Neurospora crassa OR74A: one gene and its partners. The protein of the gene in region 4 purifies or fractionates together with the protein of the main gene of each other region. This does not show direct contact. Links are inferred from orthologs where the notes say so. Each region holds a gene or a part of one and is shown on either strand. Other genes may lie near its edges. The genes, in order: NCU03380, NCU05235, NCU03321, NCU00981, NCU09488, NCU09004 and NCU03066.

Region 1 (4,213 bases), on a different chromosome or scaffold from region 4:
TCTTCGCCTGAATCACAGTCAAAGGCATACTGATGAATGAGAACATCGAATTTGGTTCCGGTACAATGCATGTTTTTCTCTGAACATGATGGTCCTTACAGCTCAGACAATAAAGATTCAATTAACTGCAAAACCTTGTCCCACTTCTAATCATGTTAACCCGGCGTGTGGTTGAGAGAACAAAACCGAACATGGACACTTCAACGTTATCCATCCTACTAGGGAAGGAAGGCCGTTGCAAGGCTGTGATATGCCTCCTTATGACTTGGAACCACGCCGTCCAGAGTCTATTAGGGATTATTTGGTTCAGGAAGGAGTTTGAAGATTGCCTAGAAGATAAAATCAAGACGCATGCATGCGAGCAAGAGTATACTGAAGGTGTGATGTAGTGGACTGAATACATTGGTTTGGTTTGTTCATACGAACACTTTGTTACCACAATGTCTCGAATTTCGAGAACATTTGTGATATCGATACTGTGTCTCCATTTGGGTGTTATGATAGATATTGTCTCAGGCAAAACAGCTGTACTTTTCGAGTACACCCATTATCATGATTACCATGAGGACTCATGGATACAGCATGCCAAGAACCAACAAAATTCCAATTCATCAAAAGGGTATATACGCCTCATACGCCTTTACGTCTTAGAAAATGAACCATTACCATCAACTCCCATTACCCAAGAAGCTACTCAATCATCAAACCCACCAAACTCTTCATCACTATCGTCCACCTTCTTCACCGGAGCCTTCGGCTTGGGTGGGTTCGCCGCAAGCGCAGCTGCCCTCTCCTCCGCCGCCTTGGCCTCGTTCCGTTTCCTCACCTCCTCAATCATCTGCTCCAGCTTGAGATGCTCCTCCTTCTCTTTCTCCGTCATCTCGCTGAATTTCTTGGCCTCCCTCTTTCTCCTCTTCTTCTCGCGCCTCTGCAGTTTCGTCTCCTCCTGTTCCGCCTTGCCGCTCCACGCCTCGTTCTTCTTGCGCTTGTCGCCCGTATTCTCTTCCTGTGCCCGCTTTGCCTTCTCCTCCTTCCACTTGGCCAGCTCTTCCTGACGCTTTTTCTCGCGCACCTTGTCCTTGAAAGGAATTTCTTCCGTGTTGATGCCCAGACCCAGAGAGCGGTCGATCTTGGCTTCGCGGACTTCGGGCATCTTGGGCAGCTCGAGAAGGCCGTAGCCCTTGGCTAGGTCGAGCCAGTCGAGGTCGGCGATGCGGAAGATGGAAGAAGCTTGGTGTTCGATGTAGGAGCGCGTCCAGGAAACGAAAGCGAGCTGGGCCATCTGGAAGATCTCGCGGTCGGCGAGGGCTTGCGATCGGAAGGCGGCGGAGACGCGCTCGACTTCATCAGGGGTGACGGAAATGGCGGGCTTCTCCAGGGGCGTGATGGGAGTTTGACGGACTTCAAGAAGCTGTACGTAGCCTTCCTCGCGACCCGGCTGGAGCAGAACGACGGCGAGACCCCGACGACCGGCACGGCCGGCACGACCGCAGCGGTGAATGAAAACCTTGGTGTCCGTGGGCGGGTCGTGCTGGATAACGAGGTCGACTTGGGGGATATCAAGACCGCGGGCGGCAAGATCGGTGGTGAGGAGGACCATGGGCGAGGTGGTGTTGACGAAACGCTCATAGTTCTTTTCGCGGACTTTAGGTTCGAGTTTGCCGTGCAGGGAGGTGACGGAAAAACCGGCGGGCAGGACGGCGCCGAGAATGCGGCTGAAGTACTTGACGGCCATGCATGAAGAGAAGAAGATGATGGATCGCTGGGGCCTGGGCTCGAGCTTTTCGAGGAGCTGGACAATTGCTGGCATTTTCTGGCTGGCTGGGGTAACAAGGTAGCTCATCTGTAGAGACATTGGTGTTTTCCTCTCTTGAATTATGCCACCGTCCTTCAGACTCTTCACTCTGACGGTGATCTTGTGTGGGTACAATAGACCAACTGTAATCAGCCTTTCAACGGCGTCACTGAGCGAAGCACTGAAAAGACCAGTACGGCGCTGCTTCGGAAGATATCCGAGAATGCGGTTGAGCTCGTTCGCGAAACCCATATCGAGAAGGCGATCGGCCTCATCCATAATGAGAACCTCAAATGTAGACGCGGGAGCCTTGACGTATGCGCTCGACAAGAGTTCGGCAAGACGGCCGGGAGTGCCAATTAGGAGATTCGGGGAAAGACGAAGGAATGTACCGAGATCCTCAGCAGCCTTGGTGGTGCCTCCGACAAGTAGTTGGGGGACAACGACAGGCTGGGTTGCTGTTGGGCGCTTCTCGTCGCTTTTGGCGTGGGAAATGGCTTCAGCGGAGGGTTCGTGAAACTTGACGAGGGAAACGAGGACATTGTAAATCTGGGTTGCAAGTTCGCGGGTGGGCGAGATGATAATGCCTTGGACATGGTTTCGCTTGGCTGGTTCTTCGCCGCGCAGGAGTTTCTGTTGCAGAATCGGTTAGCATATGATCATCCTGAGCTGGTAGACAGCAAGAGATCCGGCTTACCTCAACTACCGGAATCAAAAAGGCAAGTGTCTTTCCACTGCCTGTTACGGCCTCGACGACAACATCTTTATTTCCACGGAAGAGCTCAAGGCATGACTTTTGAACGGGAGTCGGCTGGGTAAAGCCCATGGAGGAGAGGTAGTCAAGAATCCATTGGGCGAGAGGAGGCGTGAGAGCGTCCCAAGACCTTGGAGGCTTCCGGACCTTAGTCTGTGGTTGGGTAGGCGCCATGTTAATTATGTGGTTGGCGGAGTATCGGGGCGTTGTAATCGATCCCTGAAGCTCTGCGTATTGCCCGTGGTGATAGCAGTGCGATGCTGTTGAAACAAAAATTGGCCTGGCGACCATCCAAACAATCCTTATCTTATCTGCCTATCGATAAAGCTAGCGTGAGCGTAACCTCGCAAGTTGCATACAGTACACAGCAGCCTTCACTTCTTTCGAATCCAATTTGATCGGTCCAAACCTAAAGATCTTCCCATTAGATTTCAGAAATTCGTTGGACAACTCACGACTTATACTAATTATATCCCAGATGTGCGCTCAAGCCGTTTTGTATCGTGAATATCAATAGACAGCTTTCGGATCTTCACGATCGTCTGTTGTTACTAGTGCAATTATCAGATATTGGAATGTGGGTCTCATCGAAGAACCCACGCAGCCACGGCAACCTGACAAAGGCTTGATCTTATTTGCTTACATGGTATAGGTAGTGTAATGCTACAACTGAAGGTGTCAATATTCAGCTCGACTAAGCTCCAGTGGCTCCCAAAATTGAAGTCTACGTCGTCTTCATCCAACCTTGTTTGACGACTGGCCGTCTGCTCAAGTCCATGATAGGCAAACATGCTAAGAACGCTTGAACCACTTTTACATGATGAGGAGATTGTGTACAAAGAAATCCCCATCAACCGAGATCGACCAAGGTGATGAACGTCAACGGTTGAGCAGAGTACAAAGTCTCTTTTCAACAAGGCACGGCAATATACTATGGTATAGGTATATCGAGCAACGCCTGGCATGAACTGAAAATGGCGGCATTCACGCCCAACCGTCTTCCTTCAGTTCAGTCTCAACTTCCTGTTGTCACATGCAAGGTCGCGTCGCTGTGTGCTGTTGCTGCTCTTGAAAGGCCACCACCCACCAATGTCATCACGCCTTGCCGCAATTGGGGTAACGGACCAGGGCAGTGAGCTGGGGAGCCCGGTGCAACCACCTGAAGCGCAACGCAGGACACGCGCCGGCTGATTCCCACTCGCACTCATGGCCGGGCATCCGCAACAGCCGAAATTTCTGTTCTTCACAAACACCGAACCACTGTCATTCGTCTATGATCGTCATCACTGGATCCTAAACCAAGTCCAGCCCAGGGTAACGTGCCACCTCAGCCACCGAGTACGGGTACAGTTTCTTTTTTTTCCTGCTTTGCACATCTTTTTTTCCTCTTGCTGTCAAGATACCCTTCTTTTTCCTGGACCTGAACCCTCCATATCCTATCGATTCGGCAGAAGAGTCGAAAAGAACCGACACTTGCCAGTCAGAAGCATCATTACTCGTCTTGATGCCACCACGGGTTTCCCTAATTTGCTGAGATACTGTCTGTCTTACTTGACTAAGGAACCCGGTCCATCTTGGTTACAGGTCACCTATCCCCGGCCCCCCGGTCACCCGTCCCGCCTCAGCTCAGCTCGGAGGTTGGAGCCCTCTCATTCTTCCACTTG
Region 2 (3,937 bases), on a different chromosome or scaffold from region 4:
ATGTCAGCAGTAAGGAGACGGTGGCGCAGGAAGGGTGCGCTTGTTAAGACTGACTGGACTGGTCTGACTGGTCTGGCGGCCTGGTGCGGTTTGGTCTGCTCTCGTCTGGTCTGCTCTGGTCTGATCAGGGCAGGACAAGCTGAATTCCTCTTCCCTAGGGAAAGGGCGTGCTGGTTGGGAAACCGTGACGGCTGGGGATGAAGACAGCAATGGGGATGATGATCATGTTGACGATGTTAACGAGGTTAACGATATAATGGGGTAAATATATGATGAGAGAATGAGATGGAACTTGATGATGATGATGATGGGGGGTGGGGGGAGGGAAATAGAGGTGGGTGGGCTAGACAACCTGACAAATGGGGAAGCAAACTATAATGAGAAACTTGGCTGTGCTTTGTGCTTACGGTTTGGCTGGCTGGCTAAAGCAAGGCGATCGGAGCATTAGCATGCGAAGGAAGGGGTTGGTTTGGTTTTGTCGGGTCTTAACGCTTATAATAATACAAATGATAAAAGATATAATACTTTGTATTTAGTTACCGACTTGAACCAACTGTGTCTTTTAGGTGTTGTTTAGAGTTGTTGTGTTGTCGACTGAGTGCAAGATGGAATCAACGAACGGGTAGTAGTCCAAGATTGACCTTGGATATATCCTTGGCTAGGATACCTAGTCAGGTCTCGAGCTACAGAGGTCAGTCACGTTGGCAGAAGACAGAAACGAGTAACTTGTCGAGTCAGAAAGTACTGAGGATTACTACTATAAAACAAGACAAGACATGGCAGAAAGAAAAAAACAAACAAGTACTTCATATTGTGGGTCTCCCCGTGTCTATTAAACGCCAAATTCGCCGATTCCAATAAAACCGAAAATATGCTTTGCTACTAAAGGTAGACTGATTGATCCCCCCCTTGAAAACCATGGTTCTGAATATAATGAATCTTTCCAATGACCTGTAGCGACCAACGACCAACCAACCAAGCAAGGGGTATAAGCAAGCCCCGAAAGCAGCCATCGCTCGGGGGGGAGGATTGTCTGTCTGTCCAAAGCCACAGTTACTGTTTTTACAGTTAGAGTATTGGCTGTTGGTCAACCAATTGCTGTCTGTCCTGTCCTCTTTCTGGTCGTTCCGTCTTTATACACCAAGACCCGTTCGTCGTAGTTGGGCTTTGTTGCTGGTGTCAACTAGGCAGGTCTCAGTGGCGAGGAAAGGCCGCCGAAAAAATACAGCAGAACCCTCCCCCGCATAGGGATATCGACAGCCGCGGGAGCGAGTTCGTCCGAAGAAAACAAGCAAACAACGAATGATCCCGAGAAAAGAGGTGGCTGGTTTCGGTGTTGGTGATGGTGGTGGTGGTGGTTGGCGGTGGTGGTGGTCGCGGTAGTAATAGTTACAGAGACTCGGGCGCTCAGTCGGTATCCATCTCGTCGTCATCGTCCACGTCCTCGAAATCGTTCTCGTCATCGTCATCCTCATCGACCAAGCCTCCACCAGCGACGCGCTCCGAGATCTCTTCCACGCCGCCGTCTGTCCTGACACGGAGCCTCTTGACCTCGCCGCCAAACGCCTTGGTCTTCTTGCTGGCAGCCTTCTTGGCCAGCTCCTCGCGCTCGAGCTCCTCGACGTCCTGGCCCGTCTCCTGGGCGAGCTCGGCCAGCCTCCTCTTCTCGGAACCGCGCAGGCGGGGGAGGAGGTGCTCGTTCTCGGCGACGAGCTTGCGGGCGGCGGCGACCTCGCGGGCGCGCTTGCCGGCCATGCGGCGCTTGTAGAAGATGCGCTCGCGGCGCTGGCGGATCTCCGAGATACGCTCCATGGCCTTGACCGTCTTGGCGAAGAGCTCGCGGTCGTAGCGGACGGGCACGTTGCGGCGGGCGGCGAACTGCAGGGTGCTGTCGACCACCATCTCCTTGCCGGCGTTCTTGCGGTAGGCCTTGGTCCACTTGAGCTTGCGGGGGTTGCGCTTCATCTTGAAGTTCTTGTGGCATTTGGAGCGGCAGAAGCGGAAGGACTTGCCTGTAACATTAGTTGTACCCTGGTTAGCAATTGGCCTTGACGGAGAGGTTGATGATGGGGAACTGAAGTATGACAAAAACATACCATCGTTACGCATAAAGGTAATGCCCTTGGAGGGCCAGGCCGGACGGCCGCAAAAGAAACAGGGATCGACACGCATCTTGACGGGTTATGTGGGTGGTTGTGGTGGTGGTGGTGGTGGTGGTGGTTGAGGAGAGAAGCAGCGAGCCGGGTGAGGATGGGCTCGTTGTCTGTTCGGGAGGGGGGGGAGGAGAGGGGGAAGCAAGCAACAAAGTCAACAACAGCGAAACGGTCAAGGGCGCCGCTTCTGAAAATTTCTGGATGTCGGTGTTGGAAAAGTAAAGTGGGGCGGAGGGGACGCTTGGCTTATCTTAGCGCTATCGTGCTATCAGCCGACAAGACTCGGGTTAGGGTTGAGCGTGCATATACGCCAGCCCAGACGGTTCTTTTCTCTTGATTTGACAATGATGGTTCCCGATGATCGATTCCTCGATGTAAGTTGGCCGGCAATTGCGGCTGCTTACTTTCGATGCTCTCTCGACAAGCGATGGCCATGATGCTCAAGTCGACGGGCATGTTTACTTTTCCCAAATCAGTATATTCCCCGATCCATCCAACAATACTTCTTGAGCTCACGATCTTTTCGCTTCGCGACAATGTTCAGTCACCAAGATGGCATTGGTTTCTGTTAACAGGACTCTCGCGGACCCTAACATTGCTAGCTCCACTCTCTTTCTTTCCCATCAGTTACTGCTAACGATTAAAGTCTGACACCCTCTACAATGTTCAACACCGGGTATCATCGGTGTTCGTGACTGCAATTTTTACCATGTCTGAAGAATCTATTCGAGTTACAACTGAAGGCGTCAAGTTCTTCTCGGAGACTGTGGCGAAATCGGATCTTGAATTGTCTGTCATTTCTCACAATGATCAAGACCTTCTGTGATGGAAACTCCGTCGGCAGTAGGCCAGTGTCTGTTGAAGGTGACTACTTAGGCTTTACACAAAAAGAGGTCTTCCTTGACACTTGGTTGATATAACGCATCTCCGTCTCTCAGATTGAACTTGAAGTGCAATGGACTTTCCTCACTCCTTCCCCAATCACAGTGCTCCTTTCATCTCACTCACAGCGGAGTTGAGGGTCGGGTGCTGACCGAGAGCCCCATCAGATCCACAGCGCTAACTCAAAGATGCGGGGACGGAATCCGGGGAAAGCGTCAAAAGTGGAGTCGGGTTCCCCTGAGGCTCCACCAGACTAGCTCCTGCCCTGCGACAGTAAGGGTCCCGAGATCGTTCTTTCCTGATACAAACCGTACACTAAGTATAGGAAAGTCAAGATGTCGCTATCTCTTTCCAGTTTCTTGTCGGTAATTATCCCATGCGGTTCACCGTAATCTTCCTTCTCAAACTTGGTATCTACTGAAATGTACAAAGGATCAAAATTACAAACCCAACACCTACTGCTTCCTCCCCCAGCCACAGCACACGCGCACCGGACCACTCCTCGCTCCGTGGTGCCATTAGACATCACAGAATCAGACGACGGAACTCACAGACGGGCCGCTGTGATACAAAAGTGACGTCCAGCCACTCGAGATGATTGGATTTTGGATATTGCCTGCCACTCCTACCCCGCTCAATCCTGGGTTACACCATGCCTCAGCCAGACGGTTCCAGGTCTCGAGAAGCCGTTGGACATAGTAACTACTCACAACAGAGGAAGAAAAGCAGGAGGTGCAGGCGAGAAAGGCGGAGGTGAGCGGTGGCTCCCTGTCTAGACCGTCCACTTGCTGCAAGGCAAACCGGGGAGGGGAAGTGGCACAACAGGAGGTCAAGGCTTGGGCATCTCCCCTCAAAAAGATGATATCGAGTTAAGGACACTGCATGGGGAAGGAGGGTGAACT
Region 3 (4,477 bases), about 1.2 Mb from region 4:
AGGGCAGACAAATAATCCCGTTGCCTAACAGCCATGGCGAGACCTCATCGGCCTAGATCAACCCCCTGCTGCCCAATAGCAAAGTAGCGTAAAGACGAAAATGTGGTATATTTCCTTAGCATTCCGAGAACTCCGCCGAACATACATGCAGTCGACTTGTATATACTCCAACTGGCCTGTGTATCTTTCTAATCATAATAATAGCACATCCGAGCACGCCAATCAAGACAAGCAGACTGATTAACCTGTCCTCTCGCTTCCGTTTTCCTTCCTTGTGTTTTGTTCATCTTTTGTCTCGTCCCATTAAACGCTGTTCTTTTACATCCAGAGACGGATGGTGCCGTCAGCACCGGCAGACACACACCACGGCTCACGCGGGTGCCAGTCCATATCCAGGACACCAAGCTTGTTGACGACCTTGTGTCCCTTGAGCACCTTGACAGGCACAATGGTGGGGTTCTCCAGCTGATCGTTCGGGACCTTGCCGTGGAAGATTTGGAGAGTGCCGTCGTCACTGGCATCAGCGAAGAGCGGCAGGCCGCCCCTGTGGTACTTGACCTGACGAACCGCCTCGCTGTGGAACCTCATCGTCTTGTACGGACGAATGGAAAGATCCAGATCGTGCCACAAGAGACGCTTGTCGTAACTGCCAACAATCAAGTTGTCACCGCCGGGGTGGATATCGAACGAAGAAATCCTACAAGTCAACAGAGTTAGCAAATCAATTCCAGTCACATTATCCGGCTAGCCATGGGGATACGTACCACTTCGCGCCAGGCTGGACAACCTTGACCAGCTCGAGCTTCTGCAAGTCGTAGCAGCGAATTGTTCGTTGAGTGGCGACGAAGAAGAGAGGACGGAGGGGATGGAAAGACGCTGTCTGAGCCAAGCCAGAAAGCTTGCGGAAGGGAATCTGGGTGAGGTGCTTGGAGAGCGTATGGATGGCTACGGAGCTCCTCTGTCCGGAAGGCGATACTGTCGCAAAATGGTCTCCTTTCCTGTGCCAGTTGATGACCTTCACGGTCGACCTGACTGTGATCCTGATCAAGACACCCTCATCCTCGAGCTTAGCACCGGGGCGGGCCCACTTGGCAGGAGGCTCCTTGCCGGGAGCAGCGCCGTGTTGCTGACCGTTTGTAGCATAACCGAAGCCAGCCGACAGGATATCTCTGCTAGCCTGGTCCAAAGCAGGAGTAACGCTGGCGTGTGTAGGAACCATGAGGTAGACATCCTCACCCACAGCAGCGGAGAGAATGAAAGAGTCCTTCGCGGGCCTCCACCTAACGGTGTTGACAGCCTCCTCACTGCTGAGCTTGACGGACCAGACTTGGCGACCCGTCAACAGCTCCCACACACGTACCGTACCGTCGTCGCCACCGCTAGCGACAGCAACACCAGTAGGGTCGATGGCAACGCTTCTTACACGGCCGTCATGGCCGCGGAAAACTGTTTGGGCAACTGTAGGGAAAGGCTTGAGCTCAGAAGGCGAAGGAAGCTTGGGCAGGAGCGAGTTGGGATCGATGTTGAGCCTGTTCTTCCGCACACGAGGAGCAAGGTAAAGGTCCATGCACCTCTCGAATCTCTCCTTGACGATCTCGCCATAACCGGGAACTTTCCGCAAAGAGTCGTATTTCTGAGGGAGATACTCCTTCTCGCGCTCCTCGGGGTCGAGCTTCTCCCACTCCTCTCTCTCCTCCTTGGTCGGTAGGTATTCTGCGGGCGGGTTGTAACTCATGTCGAAACCAGGAGGAGGCAGCTTGGGTGCCGGGATGTGCAAGGGGTTGACTTCTTGTGGCACCTCATCCTGCCAGATATCAAAGTACTGCTCCTCCTCTTCCTCCTCCTTCTCGCGCTCCTCAGGGGGCTTGTAGGGCAGGATCCTGCCTTCCCTAATGGCGCGAACAAGCTTCATAATCTTCTTGGCCTCGTTCTTGGAGGGGAGGAAGCGACGCTTGGGCTCAGGGGCAGCGCTCAGGGCTATTGACTTGTTAGTTGCACCATTTCAACAACGATAAGTGTAGATAGATTTTGACTTACGCATTTTCTCCTCAATACCAGTAAAGTATTCCACGGTTTCAGGGTAGGGGTTTTCCAGCTCGTTGGGAATCATACCCATCTGGACACGGCGAACAAGCTCCAATTCATCATCACTACGGTATGGCAGTCAGTAAGCGTGACCCGAAGAAACCGAGCAAGACAAAGGAGGATGGGTTGGGTGCATACTTGAGGTTGAGAGGGTTGCCGGTGTGAATATCCGTAAGGCCAGTCCAGCCCTTGGGCACTTCGATGCTGTCGAGGAGAGCATCAAGAGCGTCGCCAGTGGCCGGGCGCATAATCTTCTTGCCGTTGATATCATAGCCGATATGGGGATAGCTGTCGTAGAAGCTCATGGGGATGTTGCCGATGGTGTTTGGCGCTTCTTGGGCATCGGAATCGTCCGAATCGTAGACGGGGTCGATCTCACTGTTGCATTCTCGAGTTAACTATGCTGGCATGGAACGATATTTGATCCATTTGCAGAACAACAACATACTCGTAGACGTAGCGCTCGTTGCCGTTCGCGTCCTTTTCGATCCGATAGTTCTTGTCTCCATCATCCTTCTCCGGCCGCTTGGGGTCGACTCCGGGTATCTCAATCTCGAGTTCCTCTTCTTCGTCCTCGAGAACAAGTTTGCCCATTGCCTTGTCGCCCTCAGCATCGGAGGGAATGTCGTCGCTTAGTAGGGAGCCCTCCTCATCTTCGTCGTCGCTGGCCTCACTTCCGCTTTCCTGCTCGCCGTCCTGTTCGTGCTCATTGTCGTCGAAGTCAGAATCGAACTCGTCTTCGCTCTGCGACAGGGCGCCGTCAAAATCGGGTGCAATCTCGTCGTCGGACTCAGGCTCGGCGTCCTGGACCTTTCGCTTCTTCTCGGTGGCTTTTGGCCCCATTGTGAATGTGTGTTGATTTTTGGCGTGTTTTCTGCTGGTAAAACACCCAGATAGCGTCGCAGCGATAGGCGTCGAAAATTCCTAGCATACGAATTGGCCTGGGACTTTTTTTTCTGCCGGTTCTACAGCTCATGGCGGGGACGAGTTGGTCTCACCGCCCTTGGCATTTCTGGCAGCTAAAGAACCATAACATATTACCCTATCGGTTTAGCGTGTCAAAAGACAAATGAAGCCAGGAGCATGCACTCCGTGTCTCCGTCCCTCTGATACCGACTTCAAATTTTTAGCCTTATTTGTTACTTGTATATCATGGATGAGATGAATACCGAACTCCAACCTCGATGCAGCATCCCTCTGCACCCCTACACCTGGCTTCAACCACGCACGATTCCACTTCTGTAGTTCGTCCTGCCCGTTCTGTGGGTATTGGCAGTCAAAACTGGCAAACCAGCATCAATCAAATACCCGGCGTGATCAGATTGAGTCTCCATGGATCGCTTGTAATTACAGACTTTTGTTCGAATTTTACCCCATTGCCTCTTACACTACGGTTTTTGTCACCATCGCCGTCTTTTTGCGCTTTCCAAGCATGGCAGTTGACAATATGTAGTGTAGCACGACGCCTGCTAGGGAACCTTGATGGGCTAGGGTTACTCGACACCTTCACACTACACTACTGCCATAAAACCCACGCTATAGTCATCCCATAACTAGCAAAAGGACATCATTCATGCCTTTGGCCAGTGAGCCACATATATGTCCAAAGGCCTGGGTGTTTGACTGATACACTACCAGTGCCATTTGAGGCAACGCGGCAACAAAAGTCAGTCTCTGCATTATCTGTGTCAATTGCGGCTTATTAATATGGCATCAGGTCTGGCGCGACCAGGTGATCTTTGATTGCTTGCGTTGGCTCGTTAACATTGCGGGCCTGGAGCATCTTGTCTGAAATCTGCTTTCTTTGCCCTCCTCTGAAAACGAGTCGATCCTATCATCCTAGGTCCCTTGTTACAACGTACATATCCATGCTGTTTGCCCATCTACTGTGTACACCACACTAGCGTCTACATAGATAGTGTCTTGGAGTACCACCGGGGCGATTTCTGTGTCTTCTAAGCGGGGCTTGCGGAGAGCCTTAGACGTTTACCTTACCACTCAACCCTTTTTATCCACCACACATCTACGCCCGCGGAAAAGAAGGGGAGAAAAAAAAAGCAAAATAAAGGAAAGGCCGGTTGCGGAAAACAGCCATGATCTCAAACAGCGAAGTCACTAAGGAGAAAGAGCCGGTGAAACGCCGTGCCTGTGACGAGTGCCGTATGTTTCGTCCCGCTCCCCGTTTCGATCCATATATTCATCTACCTCTACCCTCTAGTCAGCAACCATGACTGCCCAACCGCACTAATGTATCTAAATTAACAAATGCAGGGACACGGAAACTTGCTTGCACAAAGGAACAAGATGGCTGTGCGCGGTGTAAGCGCGAAGGCGTTCACTGTAACTACTCGGCCCAGAAACCCATGGGTCGGCCAAGGAAACGTCCTTACGT
Region 4 (3,675 bases):
GGTTTGCCACTGCTTCATACCTCTAGAGTGGTATATCTTCTGACGGCTGGTTGACGAGGCCAGAGCCTCTCAAAAGAGTAGGGAGATCGCCTAAATCATGACTGGTTCTTCTGGTTTCATCCATTGGGGTTCCGGTTGTTTACCTTACCTAGTTTGGCTTAGTTGAAAAGCTGGTTTGCACATTCTCTGGTAGATTTTGGCTTCAAGGAGAGGGTGACTACGATGCATCTTACCGATTCCTGCGCTTTCCCGGGGCCATTAAAGCTAGGATCCCGAGACATGGGCAAATCGCTTCTTTATATCGCTTCGAGTAGCTCTTCGTTGGTACGGTATCAGCGTTTCGTTGACCGTTGAGTGGTGGCAAGTGGGCTTGAAGAGTACAGAAGTTACTCGTCGGTCTGGATAGAAAATACCTGCTTTTGATTCTTGGAGGCTGGGTTGACCCTGGAGTGATGAAGCTCGGAACTGCTCTCCTTCTAAAATCAAGATACAGAAGACAAGCTAGATGCTCTGAGCTGATGTAGAAGTCAATGTGTTGCCCTTGCGTTAGTTGCTTGCGGTGTTGCATGTCAAATCGACCAGCAAATTTCCATCGACTCAGGATGCAGGGTTCCATACAGCCATTTAGACCTTTGTAAGGTTAATCGCTTGCCAGCATAGTCTGCTCGAAACCCATGGGAGTCAACCTAGATCAAGCGCAGCAGCAACCAGAGAAGATATATCTATGTGTCTTATCGTATTAATCCATGTCTTCTAAACCATCAGGTGATACAATCAACCAAAACAAATGATCGGAGGGTATAATGTTCTACCGCAGATTGTGTGTGTATCTTAACCACTATACTACCTAAGTGAACCCCCGGACGAGATATTTTGCGCGGCCGTGAGTGTCGATCCTCTTTCAAAACACCAGACGCCAGTCCCAGATGCAAAATCAGATTTAACGCAATCCCGTTACAGTTGCCGCCCAAGAGACTAGACATATAATTAGACAAATCAAACCATCACCCTCTTCACTCTTGCGCTTAAACCAGGAGCACAGCGTTCAAGCATCCGTCGTTCTGGTGGAAGTTAAGTATTAGCAGTTCGTCCATGTAAAGTTAAGAGGCGGGGTTGTGCTGGTCATACCTCAGGGTTGTTGGTGATCTGCGCATAACGACCCCAGGCAATTTTGCCCGACGCGGTGACCATACCAAGATCGGAAACGTTGACCTCGATAATAGTACCCTTGGACAGAACACCAAGCTGGGTATAAAGGGGGTTGCTGGGGTTCTTCTTGACGCCGAGAATGGGGAGCTGAACCGTGACATTGAGGGTAGGGTGGGTGACGTTGGCCTTCTTGTAACGGAGACCCATGGGCCGGATGAAGCGTTCGTACTTGACTGGGCGTCTGGTGAAATCGGGTCCGACGAATGTTGGCTTGGTGACGACGCGCTTCCAGCCCTTCTTGTGCACCTTCTTGCCCGTCTTGACGACCTTGAAAAGCTCCTCTTCGCTGATACCCTTGACCTTGGGAATAGGGACCGAGAAACGAGCGGCCTTCTCGGCACGCTTGCTCTTGATCTGGGAACTGCACGAAGAAAACGGTCAGTCTCTCGTCATCGTATGGGACCCTTTCCAACCTCCATGACTACTGCCATCATTGCATTCACATTGGCCTCCACCTCCGCCGCGGCCGTTCGCTTCTCATGTGTCCTCCCATTCAAGTGACGTACCTCAAAGCCTTCGCACTCGTGGGGTTCGAACGGTCGAGCAGATAAGCGGGAACGGGGTTCGAAGGGTCCTTCTCCTCGGGGGCGCCCTTGACATTGCGCTCCTCGTGCTGCTTGATGGCCTTGCGCATCTGGATCTTCTGGGCATGACGCTCCTTGGCAAAGAGCTTGGCCCTCAGGCCACGCAAGTTCTGTGCATTCTCGCTCTGCTTGTGACCCTCACGGGCAGCCTTCTTGCGTGCGCGCTCCTCGGTGTCCAGACGCTTACCGTGAAGCTTCTGGGCGCGTTCTGCGAAACGAAATAATTGGTTAGGGACTGGAAACAGGTCGACGGTAATCAAGATCGAGTGCGAAGGGAACTATACCGATGTATTCGTTCTGAGGCTGTATTCAGGAAAACGTCGGTTAGCATGGTCTGCTCTCAAGTGATCGGAAGGGGTCATGATGTTGAGGAGAGTGGCTGTGGATTGGGAGGGCAATTCGAAGAAATGATATCCGTACCATATTGGTGTTTTAGGCCCTTTGAGGGTCTTGCGGTTCAAGATATGTGGCGACGCAATCTGGCCTTCAGATGTTGTAGGGCGACGAAGGGCGACGAGAATGACGATGCGGTTTAGGTCAATATGCTTCAGTACCTCTACCTATGCGAATGCCTGCTGAACGGACGTCTTGAAGCCGATAAAAAAACCATTCAAGGCTAGCTTTCCTTATCGGGCGGCTCCTCCAGTGGCGGAGACCCGTAAAGAGGTGGACATAGTGGGGCAGCTTCATCACCTGTCATTGGTTGATATCTACTTAACAGCATGTCCAGGAAAACGTGGAGTGGGTTCGGATGAAGGTGCCTGCCAGCTGCAGGGCATTGGAAGTGCACCGCGGCAGCCAGAGCCGCCCGTTGAGGACGAGAACCTTGATGGAAGGCCAGTGGACAACTTTTGTATAGATCCGGAGATCACCTTACCATTCGTAGAATGGCTCCTGCAACTAGGTTATTACCAAGGGACACTAGTTGTGTGGCTCGCATAACCCGCTTCAACGAGCACAGTAGGTATGTCAACAAAGGCAAAACCCAAAGACGTGGTATGCTTGGGGGTGTTAAGATATCTAGATATGCTACACCGTGTCATGACAACCTATACTATAATTCGTCCGACGGGCTCTATTGCCAGCCAACGCCCGCCAATGAAACCGGAATCCGTGCAAAATGACTAAACTCCAGACGCTGATGCAAAATGTTTCTGGGTGTCCGTCCTGTCTTCCAGCCAACGCCATTGCAAAACCGTCTCCAGAAAACGAATTCCTGCCTTGAAATTATCACGATGCGCCGAAACCTTCCCAATTTAGAGGCAAAAGAAAGAAGGAGACACGCCACGCAACCACGACATATCAGCGGTCTCCGGCTCTGGACTTGAGTTTTGCAAGTGCTGCCCGCTTTCTTTCCTCCTTCTCGCGCTTCAACCTCTTCTCCAGCGCCTCCTGCTCCATGTCTTCTCTGCGAGCCTGCAACTCTGCCCGGCGTTCCTCCGCGTCGATGTCGGACAATCCCGCCTCCATGTCTGAGTCATCCTCTTCCAGTGACTCGTAACCACCGCGACGACCATAGCCGTAGCCATCGTCCTCATCTTCGTCGTACTCGATGAAATCGTCCAACTCTTCATCCTCCTCCTCGCGTCTCCGGGGACGTGAGAATGAGGCGCCATAACCGGACAGCCCACGGCCCCTACTTGCGCCTGCCGAGGTGGATGCTCCTGGTTTTGTGGTGGTGGCCCCTGGGCGGGGACGTGCCGTGCCTTGGTATCCAGTCGTCGCTAAAGCAGCCTTCTTTACCTTCTTCTCCTCCACGGCATTTTGGCCTGTCTTGGACTTGGCGCCAGCCGGGGCTGAGGGGGTGATACTCCGCTGACGGTTCGCAGTCGTGCCGTTGGTACCATTGCGGGTTGGCCCAGCTGTCACACCGCTCCTCCCG
Region 5 (4,357 bases), on a different chromosome or scaffold from region 4:
ACTGAAGGCAAAGGTTGAACGAGATGGCGACTTTAGTTGAAGTCTGTGAGGCGACGAGGCATACGAGACTACCTCTACTCTAGAAGTTCAATCTGTATTGGGTAAAAGTATACCTCTACCGTGCCTCTACATCTGTAACCCTTGGACGGTGACGGCGACGGTTTCTCGTTCTTCCCTCATCGCGGAGTCAAACAACGGACCGTGGGGAGAAAAGGGTGATATGGATAAGTACCATGGAACAAAGGACCAACTTCACCCGAAAGGACTGGAAACAATGTGTGATTACACATGAACGAGTACAACACTCGTCCGCAGTTAATTTCCCAAAACCTAAAAAAAGGTACAAACAAATACGATTACGAAAACAGAGAATCACCGATTCCACAACTCTCCGTGTTACATACCGTTCCTTCTCCTTCCTCCGCTCTTACTCCTAGCAATATGCGCCGTCAGACGCTTCTTGGTATCCACCAAACTCCTCTTATGCTTCGCCCTCGCCTTACCAACCGTCATTAGGAAGTTCTTCTTTCTCGCCTTCTCCTTGTTCGTCGACGACTTGCCCTCAGCCTCCTTCTTGGATTTCCTGATTGCCTGCGTCGACTTGTGCTCCTCACGCGCAGGCTTGCCATCCTTGGCCATGGCCACCCGCTCCTCCTTGGTGCTCTTCTTGCCAATCTGGGCAGGCAACTCAATGTCGTCGGCGGTAACACCGTCTTCGATGTGCTTGGCGATAAGTTCTTGTCTCCTCTTGGAGACGGTGCCTGTCATCTTGTCTAATTGGGCCTCCCGGCGGAGCTCTGCCAGTTTGGCGAGGTCGGCGGGCGTGAGGATAGTGGTCATGGCGAGCTTGGAAATGCGGTTGGCTTCGGCGGCGGCGGCCATGGCTTCGTCGGAGATGAGATCAGGAGCCGTTGAGCTGTCGCGACGCTGCTTCTTGGCTGCAGGCCCTTCGTCCTCGTCATCGGAGTGCTCAACGTTGATCCACCCGGTTGAAGAGTCAGAATCGTTGGAGGCGACTTCCCACTCGTCGGAATTGAACCCATCTTCGTCATCATCATCATCCTTCATCTTAGCGTCTCCATCAGCATCCTCACCCTTCTCAGCGAGTTTCTTGAGTTTCTGCTCCTCCTTGTACTTCTCGAGAAGCTCGATACCCTCAATACCGCTCTCCACTTGCTCTTCACCAAACTTGAGCCTCTTGACCTCACCCGACTTCAATCCCATGGTTGCCTCCTTGCCGCGGAACTTCTTTTGCAGCAGCTCGGGGTAAACTTCACGGTAAAGAGACTGAAGACCCTTGGCGGCCATTACCACGCCCTTGTCCTTGGACTTTTGGTACATGACTAGATCTTGAAGGAGAGTCTCGCTCATGCAGAGCGGTTGGCGCAAAGCGACTTCACGGATAGAGTTGATACCGGCAGAGGCAACTTCGGCGGCAGAAGCCTCCGAGACGAACTCATTGGCGATCTTGACAACGAGAGGTTCGATGGCGTCGGGAGGAACGTGGTTGTGTGTCGCCTGCGCCAAAGAAGCGAGGAATGAAGTGACGGACGGTTGCTTGGGCGTCAAGTACTTGGTGAACCACGGATACAAGGAAATGATGGTGAGCTTGTGCAGACCGACCAGACGGGTGACGAGCTGGAGGACCAGTAGCTTGTTGTCGAGGGAGAACTTGCACTTGGTATTCTGCAGGTGTTTCTGGAAAAGCTGCTCGGCGAAGCCTTGAGGATCGTGAATGAGGTGGAGAGCCGAGAAGTTCAGCGGATGAGGGGCATGCTTCTTGCGCTCCTGCTTCTTAATCTTTTCCATGGCCTTCTCCATGGCCTTTTGGCGCTTCTTGGTCTTCTTGTTGATAGTGCCCTGATGCTTGACCTTCTTAATGTCAATCTCCTCGTCACTAGAGTCGTCCTCCATCTCCTCGCGCTCCTTGTCGCCACCCAAGAAGAAGCGGACACCACCAACGACGACCTTTTCGTTGTCGGACAAACAGGCCTCCTTCATGACGTCGCAGGGCCGGGCGTCGGTCCAGATCTGGCGGCGCCACAGCTCGCGGGTGATGCGGCAGGCCCACATGCCTTTGGTCGAAGTGCGGTCCGAGGTAACGAGGTTGTGCAAGACAGTTTGGATGGTGCGGTTGAGCTTGTGGTTGGTGGCCTTGGAGTTGGACTCGCGCAGGTCGCTGACGATCTTGGTATACAGGAGGGAGCGGAGAGACTTGGAGGGCGTCGAGATTAAAATGGGGAAGAGGGTGGTAAGCAGGCTGGTCGAGTCGATGACATCCTTGCGACGGAGGAGAGACAAGCTGCCAACAACCTTTTCGCGAAGATCGGGGTTGAGAACGGCATGGTGTTGAGTCAAGAGCTCCTTAAGGTGGTCGAAGTAGGGGGCAGTGACATCGGGGTACAGATCGGCGACGTGCGCGACGAGGTCAACGAGATCGTGGAATTTCTTGTTATCTTCGCTGGAGGCGGAGGAAGGGGACGAGATGAAGATTTGCCGTTGGGCGTCGTATGCGAGCCATTGGTCGTAAAACTCTTGGGCATAGGATCTGGAGGAGGAGGCCAGGGTGTTAGTAAACAGAAGCGACTGACGACGAGGGCAGCAATTGGCGACGACGACGACGACGACGACGACAACAACAAGAACAACTCACTTGGGATCCCTCCTGATCTTGTACTGCAAACTGACCAGGTCAGCGTCGACCTTCTCGAGGGCGGCCACCTTTCTCTTGGGCATCTTGGCGGCTGGAGCGGGAAGGACGGTATTCTGAGTGATGTTGAGATCGATGCGAGTCGCAACGAGAGTGCAAGCCGGTTCCCTCTGCTCTGTTCAGTTCCAGTCCTCTGGCACAATCCTCAACCCTCGCTTTGCCTGGAGCTTCAGCGGTCCAGAATTTTTTGGGAAATTGATTCCTTATCGGATCCTTATCAGCTGCGCCAGTGGAGTTGGTGGACGTTCCAGGCGGGGAGGACCCTGGACAGCGCGGCATTCTGTACCCCACTTGAACTGTGCCCTTTTAAATTTTCTTTTTCTGCCGCGCTTTTTCTTGGATTTCTTTTCCCTTTTGCTTTCCACAAATCACCATTTACTTGGGCGATTGACGGCAGCAACTGCTCCCCGCGGTTTGCTATTCCCATTCCGGCGATGATGCATTCCTCATCCGCCACTTGAACTTGGACAACCGAGACGATTGGCATATGCTGTCTTTCGTTTCGTCCTTCATCTCCCAACAACATGCGGCTCTTCCTCGTTCGACACGGAGAGACCGTCGACAACGTGGCCGGTTTATAGTACGTTCAATCCAGCAGACCATGTCCACAGGACAATTGGCTGACCTTCCCCAGCGCAGGCATTCGTGACTCCCCCCTCACCACCCACGGTGTCTTGCAGGCACGTCGTCTAGCCTCGCACTTTGCCTCGCGGTCGTCCTCAATTGGTCCTGTCACGCACATCTTCTCTTCCGATCTGCAGCGCGCAGTCAGTACTGCCCAGGCCATTGTGGACGCCCAGGTGACGAAGGCAACGGAGAAGGAAGATACGGACCATTCCAAGCTCCAACTAGTACAGGTTGTCGAGCTTCGCGAACGCGATTTCCGATCTGCCGAGGGGAAGCGCTTTGGCACACCGCATTCCGATGCCGAAACGCATGACGAGATGCGCGCGCGAGCCACCGATTTCGTACAAGCCCACCTGGATCCGCTGCTGGACAGTATCTCCAATGGTGATAACTGCAAGACCAACACCTCCGTCGTGGTTGTCGCGCATGGCTTGATACTCAACTCGCTCTTGAGATCACTTTTGGCGCGTTATGCCCCAGAAGAGATGACGAGGCTTGCCAACGCAAAGCTGTCGTCGGGTTCTGTTGCCGGAAGGTCAGAATTTCTCGCTGCTTGGAGCAACACTGGATATCTCGAGATGAAGGTGGATGCCATCGCCTCGTCTGAGGAAACCGAGAAGTCGACTGCTCAGTTGACTGTCGTCCGGGTCAACGTCCTTGACCACCTCCACGGCCTGAAAAGGACCAGGGGTGGCATTGGCAGTGCCAAGTTTGACAGTAAACAGAAGACGATGGATTCGTTCTTCAAACCCGCTGCCAAAAAGCGACGGGTTGATTGACCGGTGTCAGCAATTGGTATGTTCCTGCCTCCTTTCTTCATTTACACCACACACCCTGCCTGCTTTTCATGATGAGAAAAACAATGTTCACAGACCTGTACCGAAACACTATGTGGAAAAACTTGTCCAACCGCTATCTGAGAAAGCACATCACAATTGTCCTGGTTATCATTGTCTTGATGTGAGCGCCGTTGCTAACGGGTATCAAAGACAGGATATCTTGAACTGGCACCACTCGAGG
Region 6 (4,209 bases), on a different chromosome or scaffold from region 4:
CGAGATCGGACCTGCCGATTGACTATCAGACGGGTTCGTGGGTCTGTGCAATTTCGTCGAATTTCACGTTCCTGGAAATTGACCAAAAACCCCCCAGATTGACGTTTCAAAAGAAACCAATATTCCCGAACGATATTTCCACTCATGACTAAGTCTAGTAGTTTAGTCCACGCATCTTTTGCCACAAGCTGCATGTCTCTCAACGGTCAGGGCATCGCGGAATAAAGCTGCGTGGTTTAAATTATTTCCACCCATCACATACCAAGCCGTTTCCAGAAGAAGAAGCAGGATTCTCGAGTGAGACATTATACGTAGCCGCCGTGGATTACCATGTCGTTGTGTGTGGACTTGGACTCGTGGTAGGTATTATACGCATTCTATAGCCCCCCATTCTATGCATATGGACATGTCAGGTCAACAAAGTGTTGACGAATGCTGGGTCCCACGAGTCCCTGGAACGGACAACCACATCATCGTGCATGATGAAACACTGCATCACCGCTGCTTGCTGGCAACCGCCGCGATCGCAACCAACCCTGGCACTCGAGGCAGCATCGGGTGTGGTACATGCCGTACTGTGTTTTTGCATGATGGTTTTTTTGTAAACATTGATGATGGGGAATTGTCTCAAGAGGCATCTCGCTTGGCGTCTGGATTTGCATTCGTAAAAGGAGGTGATGATCCCGTCATAGAGCATAGGGGACGAGCTTGGAGTTTCAGTTGGTCTTCTTCACTGGATGACAGGTGAACCAAGAACTACCAGTACAACCCTAACCCTTGGCAGAAAACCGTGCCTTGCCCCAAATCCCAAAGACATTGGTCCCGCGTTCTGGACTTATATGTCACATGTTAACTGAACCTCGAAGAGTATCTATACTTCGTGATTATTCTGAACGGCCATGGCCATGTCAACTGGAAGCTTTTTTTCATTCCAGATGGCATTTCCAAAACTCGAAGCAATCTCGCAATCCAGGCCGAGCCACAACCACGGTCATCTTCACACATATCCATATCCTCACGCAAAAACGCCAGTCATAGGAACCATTCATTGGAAGAAAAATCGCCTTGTTTGCTCACGCTTGAGCATGCATGTCAGAAACGACCCATTGTCGTTGGTATACCTGACAAGAATCCCGCCTCCTACACATCCATCTCTCGCCTCCGCTCCCTCCTGCCTCACACATTGCCTTCCTTTCTCCTTGCCTACCAAGCACAGATAACACCAACTCCAAAACAAGCCCACAAAAGAAAAACCATTGGATTTAGTAGAAAGACTCGACCATGGTATCCTTGAGGCTGGAGTTGATCTGGCCAGGCGCGGCACCCTCTCCTAACCTGAACACGCTCTCGATAACACTCAGCTCGGGCGCCGTAGTATCAAGACCAGTGACGGCCATCCAGTCGTTGACCACCATGCCACCGCCGATGACGTTGGAACCTCTGTTGACGGAGCCGGCCACCAGCGGTACCTGGAGCAGGGAGCTGAGCTCGTCCTGGTCCTGGATGGATGTCTTGGGGTGAACGAGGCCGCCCTGGTTGCTGAGCGCCATGTAGCTACCGACGAGCACGTTGTCGGCAATGGTCTGGCGGAACACCTCGACGCCGAGCACGTCGGCAATGATCTCTTCGGTCTCGCGCTCCAGATCCGGGTGGATCAGCGCCGTGTGGTCGTTGCACACAATCACGTTGCCCAGGGCCGACAGGCGCTCCTCGATACGTTGTATGCGCACGTCGTCGGGGAGACTGTTGCGCAGATGTTGCAGTTCCTGGTCGCTTGTGGTAGTGGGGACGAGGAGACCTTTGCGGTTACTGTAATTTTTTTTTTTACTCGTGGTTAGCTTACCAATGTCCCATAATCAGGTTCTCGGTTGCGCCCCCTCCGATACTTGGGACTAAAAGTTCAATCAAAAATGCAGAGGGAAGAAGCGCCTACCCAGCTGTCAAGCGACCGATGATTCTTGTGCCGGCAATGGTGGTTCTGCAGATAGGGATAACATCTTGGAGTTCGGCCTCGAAGACGCTGTAAAAGTTTTCGCTGGCACCGACGGCGACCAAAGCGTAAGAGTTTGTAAGTGTGGAAAAGACTCCAACCCTATTGAGAAAGCAGACAATGTTAGCGCGTCTGCTACTTGATATCCCGAAGAACTACCCTCCGCCCCCCATTCAGATTCAAGAGTCGCCTTGCTGTCGCGGTGTCGAAGCATGGTATTGATGTCGTCGTCGGTGGCAGGCGGGGCAGATCTTCGATTTTCGCATCGCGATTCCCCATCTCGGAACGTGGAGGCCAAGCAAAACTTACTCGTTGGAGTTCTCGAACTGGGCGCGGACAGCCATGGCTTCGGTTCTTCTTGTGTAGTGCTCCTAGTGGGCTTCCTTTACTTGGTGGGTGAAGTGGTATTCCGATAGAGACGGAGAGATTGAGTTTATGCGACTGAAGCAATGGAGATTGGAGGTATAGAATGCCGTTTTGCTGCTTCGCGAATGACGACTGGTGGGGTGGGCGATGGAAGGAAAATATAATCTGGATTCAGACTCCAGGCTATGTGTAAAGTGGGGCGCTATCAAATCTGGAATCTGGACTGAGGAAGAACCACACAGCTTTTGGAAGCGGGTACCAAGACCCTTACAGATGTATGTACCAGTACTTGCCTTCAACAACAAGACATGGACGCATACATGCGGCTTACCAACCCAACCTCTCTACTCAAACCCTTCCATTTTTGCCATCGAGAAGTATGAGTTTGTCGAAATTCTAGTGCACTTGCATCGATACAATTTCATTTTCAATCACCGGTGACTCAGACACTTTGGAGCAATCCTCGTAAGGCTACGCGAGCAGTGCCTAGCCACCCTCGGGATGGCAAAAGGCTTGCCACACAGCCCACTATGTTACAGCGACATGGAAGCTATCCTCTACGTCTACCCGACCCCATTACCGCCTCCTAAAGCTTGTTTGCCCAATCAGATTTGCAGTGGCTTTCCCATTTGGTAGTGTACACTACCGCCATTTTCATTATGATTCATCATTGTTGCGATATGCAAGGTACCCAAAGAGGCTCACTTGCGGGGCGTAGTAGAATAGACTGGGGCTTGTTTCAACAGTTCAACTTCTGCAAAATGTAATGAAGTTGCTGTTGCAGTGTACTGTGTAGAAGATCACAGGATCCTGGTGGTATAGACATAGATGCCAGAAGCCGACATACCGGACAATTCATTTTGGCTTATCTTTTTTTGTTGAACTCGTCCGCTCGGCTCATGATGAACCCTAACCCACGGATTCACAACCTCTCCTCGTCAGCCCATGTAGCGACAGGACAACAATGAGAACAACCAAAGTGTGGCTAAGGGAGCCCGGTTGTCATTTTGGGTTATGAGCTTAGCAGAGGGAACGTATGGCTGGGGGAACATCTGGTTCAGTTGACGAGAAAGCGCACTTTGCCATAATGCCGTGAGGTACCTCCATATAACCCGCTGATACCAATTCCCATGACCGTTGAAAGCCATCATCCAAGTATCATCGCCTTTAAACAAGATGCATTTATACCAAAACTCCAAACTCCCCTGCCCCCGGCTGACCGTCAAGCACTAGTCTCGTGAGACCAGTAGTCTATTTAAGACGACGCGAACATTTATTTTGCCAACCCCGTTTTGCCGGATGATGCATGCCTTGCAAGAACTGATCACCTTCTTTGACTCAGTCTCATTGCAGTGTTTGGGCTGGAAATAGCTGCGGACCAGCAAAGCCTTTCGCTATAACCCCCTGGATATCAATATTTTTAAGAGGGTCAGGATGTGGACTCCACATCTTGAGCAGGATGTACCGCGCGCTCACCGGCGGGTCGAACTTGATGGTACACTTGTTCTTGTCCTTCTCAATGTAGAATTGGGCCAGCGGAGACATAAGCGCTCCGCCAACGGCTCGTACCGCCTCCTGCGTGGCCACCTGCGAGGCTTCTCGCGCTCGTTCAAGTTCGGGGGTTCCCGTGTCGTATTCGTTACGCCAACTAGCAGAGTGTCGCGCACGAGTGAGATCAGTCCAGTCCAAACCGCTGGGGTTCCATGGGTCTCTTCCGTCATCACTACTGTCGCTTTCAAAAGGCAAAGCACCAATCCTGTTGGGGGTTCGCCTACGCCGCAAATGATTTTCGTCTCCTTCGCTTTCGTCATCACTGCATTCGGTCGTGACATTGAAAGGCTGGGATGCAGCCG
Region 7 (4,150 bases), about 2.1 Mb from region 4:
GCGCCCTCGCCGATAGCCTCGACCTGTGCGTCGACCCCAAGGAACCCTTCTTCAACACGCTCATCCGCATCATGGCTACGCGCTGCATGATGTCGGCCGAGTACTTTTGCTCGGGCACCCAATCCTACCCGGAGTTCCGCCACTACGGCTTGGCCTCTGAGATCTACACGCACTTCACGTCGCCCATCCGCCGCTACGCCGATTTAGTTGCCCATCGGCAGCTCGCCGCCGCGATTGAGTACGAGGCCGTCCACCCGGCCGTCCGCTCCCGTGGCCGCCTTGAGGCCGTGTGCAAGAACATCAACGTGCGCCACCGCAATGCCCAGTTGGCCGGCCGTGCCAGCATTGCTTATTATGTCGGCCAGGCCCTGCGCGGCAAGGCTACGGAGGAGGACGGCTTCGTCATGAAGATCTTTAGCAATGGCTTTGTTGTGCTCGTGCCGAAGTTCGGTATCGAGAGCTTGATCCGTCTGCGTGACCTGGCGGAGCCGGAGCCGGCGGCGACGTATGATGCCGAGACGTACACGCTGACCACATCGGGAAGCAGGGAGGTTAAGGTGGAGTTGTTCCAGAAGGTCAGGGTGAGGGTGACGGATCAGAAGGATGAGACGACGGGGAAGAGGGGGGTGAAGATGGAGCTTGTTAGTACTTATTAGATTTGTTGAAGATGGATGCTTCAGTATTTGAGAAGGGGTACAGGTTAAGAATACCCTTGATGGACTTTTGTAGAGCAATACATTGTTTTTTTACTTTCGGCTATCCAAACGTTCATGAAGTCATTTTCGGAATGTCGTTGCTTTCGAATTCGATAATAGGCCATTGAAAACACAGCTCGGTATGATGAACGATGCAGGGAATGTCAGAAAGAATTTAAAGCTTCACTTCAAAAGCCTTTGTCATAGAGGTGTTTATGATCAGGCTATATTTGACCTATTTTCTACCAGCCGGCCTGCCTGTCTCCCTTTTTGCTCTTTCCCACCTTGACGCCAAAACGCCTCTTCACAAAGATGTGTCCAGCTCCGGGGTTCGTTGTATTGTGTTTCTGACATGCAAAACAACAAAATACTCATTACGACATTGACCACCGACGCAACCGAAAACAAAAAAGAAACCAAAAAGTGAAATGCTCAACAACAACTGCCAACAGACAAAGATAGGGGGAATAAATCGCTCTACTGCATCTCAACATCCGGAGTCGCCGTCTCCTCCTCATCTCCCCAAAGACCATCCAGCTTGAACTCCTTGGCCCACTCGGTCACGATCACCTTCTGATCCGCTAGGGGCTCATCAGCGGTAGCAGACTTGCCGCCAGCAGGAGCAGGAGCAGTGGCGGTACCAGCCACAGCCAAGACGGGAGCATCGATCCAGCCCTGGATACGACCGTCGCGCCAGTCGGTCACGACAGTCATGGCAGCGGCTTGGATATTGGGGATACCGCCCCTGCCCAGCCTGCCGCGCTTGCGGGCAACCTGGACAAGGAAGTCCATGGTGGGGTCGCCGTTGTTGGGGTCGCGCAGCAAGGGGGGAAGGTCGTACACCTTCATCATCTTGTCCATCAACTCGGGGGTGGCCGACAGGCGCTTGAGCAGCAGCGTCACGGCGGGGACCGGGTCCTCGATCTGCTTGGGCGGGATGGCATTAAGGAGCACCAGGTGGGCGTGCGCCTCGGTCTGGTTCTTGGGGGTGAAGGTCGAGTTGCCGGCAGTGGAAGGGAACACGATACCGGGCGAGTCGAGCAGCGTCAGCTTGCTGTCGATCTTGACCTGGCGGATCGAGGTGGTGACGCCGGCCTCGGCGCCGGCCGGGCAGGCGTTGTGCTGGCCGCGGCTGTTGCTGAGGCGGGACAGGAGGGCGTTGATGACGGACGACTTGCCGACGTTAGGGTAGCCGATTACGCCAACCTGGATGGAGCGCTTGAGGTTGCGCGAGACGGCGTACGACTTGAGCGCACGGAAGAGAGCCGCGCTGGTGCTTTGGACGGTAATGTCGCGGTGCTGGAAGGTGTGGGCGTTGGGGGCAGGGTTGGAGGCACGCAGCGGCAGCGTGGGGAAGTAGCGGCGCAGGTGGGTGAGCCAGCCGCGGAGGACCGGGGGAGGGATCAGATCGACCTTGTTGAGGATGAGGATCAGGCGCTTACCACCGTGGGCGGCGGCCATGACGGCGCGCTCGACGTCCCTCGAGCGGGTGCCTTCGGGATCACGGGCGTCGAGGACGTAAAGAATGACATCAGCCTGCTCAACAACCTGCTTGAAGACCTTGTCGAAAGCCTTGCGCGAGGAGGCGCCGCCGGGAACCTCAATAACGCCGGACTGTGTGGGTTCGCCATCGGTCTCGTCGTCGGACTCGTCGTCATCGTCCATCTCGTCGCCGCTCTGGAGCTCGCGGTCGTACTGCTCGGCAGCTTTCCTGGCGCTGGCCACCAGGGCAGCGAGGGGGTTCGACTCATCGTCAACGTCGCTACCATCCTCCTCCATAGCATCGTCGTCGTCCATCAGATCGTCATCGAACGCCTCGACATCGCCCTCGGCGCCCGTCTTGGTGTCCTGGCCAGTCTTGGCCGCCTTGGCCATCTCACGACGCTTCTGCTCCTGTTCCTTTCTCCGAATGCGGTCCTCCTCGATCTGGTTCAACAGCTTCTCCTTGTAGGGGAAAAGGTTCGGGATACCCGGGTCCTTCTTGAGCTTGGAGCGCCATTCTGGGTTCTTCTTGGCGAGCTTTCTGTCCTTGCGTTGCTTCGCGGCCGAGGCCTTCTGGATCTTGTGCCTGAGGCGTACGGGTGTACGCTTCGATTTCGGCTCTGTTTTTAAGTAACGTCAGTCAATGTGTTGATTGGAAGAATATGTTGTTCTCAGCGAAAGATTGACTGACTTTTGGGCTTTGTTATCGATCCGGCCATTTTGAAGATATGCTGCTCCTAATGTCAAAAAAGGAGGTACAGGAGGATAATTGAGGATGGGACAGCAAGGTAAAGCAGCAAAATCCGGTCGCTACTATGGGCGGCTGTACTGATTGATGGTCGTCAAAAAATTAGAGTGGAGGAACGGTTTGTGCCACTGCTGACCGCCTAGATAAGCTCTGATAAAGCAGGGATCCGCCGTGTTGAACTCCACCAAGATTCCAGAAGTCCCCGCTTCGAATGTGGAGATGCGCGTGCCTGTAATTTACAGTCGTATTGTATGTTTGATTTGTGTTTAGCCAAACGTGGAATGTAAATTATATTGATACACTTATGGTGTGGTTGCGCTTGTTCTCTATATGTATATGAAGAATTATTGCTACCGACTCTTTACGCAAGTGGTTTGCATTGCCTTTCCAGAAAGAGGACTTTAGGTCGGTCCGTCTCAACAATCAAACACTTGTCTGCCATGACGATCCTCAAATCCATCGAACCGTCCGTCAAGGTGCAGTTCTGGATGCCATCAGTTCTGTCGTCAAGCACTTGTTTATACCACACATGGACGCTGTACGCTTTTTTTGAGTTTTTGGATCATCATGGATTCAACAGAACACCGTGCCCCGCTCGCATAATTGATCGTCGCTTAAGCTGACAATGGCATTGCACTATGCAATGATTATCGGCAGAGCAGACACTCCGGACATTGGGTCATCTTGGCCTACGTAGACAAAGTCCTGAAGCAAAATAGCATGCTAGCATCGAATACGCATCAAGAAAGGGGGTTGTGGTGGGGAGGTAACATATCACCCAGAAACCACGCTTATCACGCTTCACATGAGGGAGTATCTTCAGAAACTCTTCCGTAGGTATCCCCCATTTAGCGTAGAGAAAGACGGAAGAGACCGATTGTTTCCCAAGTTATCGCACCCTTCAATCGCTGTTCTCTTGTAAATGCATCCAGGACTTGCGAGTCAATTGTATCCTTGATCTGATGGGCCCTTTCAACGCGTTCAAGGAGCTAATTTATCGCTAATTACAACAACGACTCATCCTAACGCTGCTGGGACAGTTGCTAGTTGACCGTATCGAGGTTTCCGATCGACCGGCACGCGAAGTGCTCCGCCTAAAACTCCTTTGCTGTTTCATACTGAACCCGAAGCACACGCTTTGCATCATCCATCAGGTCCATGTGCTGATAGATAACACCAAGCTCGCCACTGGCTTCGATGCGCAGCTCACTTGATGCCGACATGG

Evidence for each region.
Region 1: the proteins of NCU00981 (region 4) and NCU03380 purify together in Saccharomyces cerevisiae (affinity purification with mass spectrometry; 5 studies listed by BioGRID). This does not show direct contact. The link is inferred for Neurospora crassa OR74A from reciprocal best matches to the Saccharomyces cerevisiae genes NSA2 and SPB4.
Region 2: the proteins of NCU00981 (region 4) and NCU05235 purify together in Saccharomyces cerevisiae (affinity purification with mass spectrometry; 5 studies listed by BioGRID, with this or other methods). This does not show direct contact. The link is inferred for Neurospora crassa OR74A from reciprocal best matches to the Saccharomyces cerevisiae genes NSA2 and RLP24.
Region 3: the proteins of NCU00981 (region 4) and NCU03321 purify together in Saccharomyces cerevisiae (affinity purification with mass spectrometry, with the first as the bait; 4 studies listed by BioGRID). This does not show direct contact. The link is inferred for Neurospora crassa OR74A from reciprocal best matches to the Saccharomyces cerevisiae genes NSA2 and ERB1.
Region 5: the proteins of NCU00981 (region 4) and NCU09488 purify together in Saccharomyces cerevisiae (affinity purification with mass spectrometry; 4 studies listed by BioGRID, with this or other methods). This does not show direct contact. The link is inferred for Neurospora crassa OR74A from reciprocal best matches to the Saccharomyces cerevisiae genes NSA2 and SDA1.
Region 6: the proteins of NCU00981 (region 4) and NCU09004 purify together in Saccharomyces cerevisiae (affinity purification with mass spectrometry; 6 studies listed by BioGRID, with this or other methods). This does not show direct contact. The link is inferred for Neurospora crassa OR74A from reciprocal best matches to the Saccharomyces cerevisiae genes NSA2 and TIF6.
Region 7: the proteins of NCU00981 (region 4) and NCU03066 purify together in Saccharomyces cerevisiae (affinity purification with mass spectrometry; 7 studies listed by BioGRID, with this or other methods). This does not show direct contact. The link is inferred for Neurospora crassa OR74A from reciprocal best matches to the Saccharomyces cerevisiae genes NSA2 and NUG1.

The regions. Positions count from the first base shown.
Region 1 is NC_026502.1:903,868-908,080, reverse strand, and holds NCU03380 (ATP-dependent rRNA helicase spb-4), read right to left. Parts: upstream 2,801-4,213; 5' UTR 2,724-2,800; coding exon 2,493-2,723; intron 2,429-2,492; coding exon 695-2,428; 3' UTR 384-694; downstream 1-383. UniProt on the Saccharomyces cerevisiae protein: ATP-binding RNA helicase involved in the biogenesis of 60S ribosomal subunits. Binds 90S pre-ribosomal particles and dissociates from pre-60S ribosomal particles after processing of 27SB pre-rRNA.
Region 2 is NC_026504.1:5,663,840-5,667,776, reverse strand, and holds NCU05235 (ribosome biogenesis protein RLP24), read right to left. Parts: upstream 2,323-3,937; 5' UTR 2,173-2,322; coding exon 2,097-2,172; intron 2,013-2,096; coding exon 1,408-2,012; 3' UTR 704-1,407; downstream 1-703. Other genes in the region: NCU05234 (GTP-binding protein ryh1), read left to right, coding at 1-47. UniProt on the Saccharomyces cerevisiae protein: Involved in the biogenesis of the 60S ribosomal subunit. Ensures the docking of NOG1 to pre-60S ribosomal particles. Activates and recruits ATPase AFG2 to cytoplasmic pre-60S ribosomal particles.
Region 3 is NC_026501.1:5,301,306-5,305,782, reverse strand, and holds NCU03321 (eukaryotic ribosome biogenesis protein 1), read right to left. Parts: upstream 2,993-4,477; 5' UTR 2,929-2,992; coding exon 2,534-2,928; intron 2,464-2,533; coding exon 2,224-2,463; intron 2,151-2,223; coding exon 2,038-2,150; intron 1,978-2,037; coding exon 765-1,977; intron 698-764; coding exon 319-697; 3' UTR 105-318; downstream 1-104. Other genes in the region: ada-4 (all development altered-4), read left to right, coding at 4,179-4,245, 4,357-4,477.
Region 4 is NC_026501.1:6,508,478-6,512,152, forward strand, and holds NCU00981 (ribosome biogenesis protein NSA2), read right to left. Parts: upstream 2,401-3,675; 5' UTR 2,217-2,400; coding exon 2,214-2,216; intron 2,097-2,213; coding exon 2,078-2,096; intron 2,002-2,077; coding exon 1,716-2,001; intron 1,571-1,715; coding exon 1,129-1,570; intron 1,062-1,128; coding exon 1,026-1,061; 3' UTR 737-1,025; downstream 1-736. Other genes in the region: NCU00980 (hypothetical protein), read right to left, coding at 3,096-3,675. UniProt on the Saccharomyces cerevisiae protein: Involved in the biogenesis of the 60S ribosomal subunit. May play a part in the quality control of pre-60S particles. Under normal, rapid growth conditions, high levels of NSA2 would allow the progression of pre-60S particles through the ITS2 processing.
Region 5 is NC_026502.1:4,439,177-4,443,533, forward strand, and holds NCU09488 (SDA1 domain-containing protein), read right to left. Parts: upstream 2,867-4,357; 5' UTR 2,737-2,866; coding exon 2,654-2,736; intron 2,549-2,653; coding exon 397-2,548; 3' UTR 266-396; downstream 1-265. Other genes in the region: NCU09489 (phosphoglycerate mutase), read left to right, coding at 3,235-3,290, 3,345-4,116.
Region 6 is NC_026503.1:4,190,466-4,194,674, forward strand, and holds NCU09004 (eukaryotic translation initiation factor 6), read right to left. Parts: upstream 2,735-4,209; 5' UTR 2,335-2,734; coding exon 2,300-2,334; intron 2,093-2,299; coding exon 1,934-2,092; intron 1,810-1,933; coding exon 1,263-1,809; 3' UTR 776-1,262; downstream 1-775. Other genes in the region: NCU09005 (hypothetical protein), read right to left, coding at 3,701-4,209. UniProt on the Saccharomyces cerevisiae protein: Binds to the 60S ribosomal subunit and prevents its association with the 40S ribosomal subunit to form the 80S initiation complex in the cytoplasm. Is also involved in ribosome biogenesis.
Region 7 is NC_026501.1:4,413,724-4,417,873, forward strand, and holds NCU03066 (GTP-binding protein), read right to left. Parts: upstream 3,002-4,150; 5' UTR 2,897-3,001; coding exon 2,869-2,896; intron 2,798-2,868; coding exon 1,173-2,797; 3' UTR 832-1,172; downstream 1-831. Other genes in the region: NCU03065 (mitotic control protein dis3), read left to right, coding at 1-656; NCU03067 (hypothetical protein), read right to left, coding at 4,020-4,150. UniProt on the Saccharomyces cerevisiae protein: GTPase required for 60S ribosomal subunit export to the cytoplasm.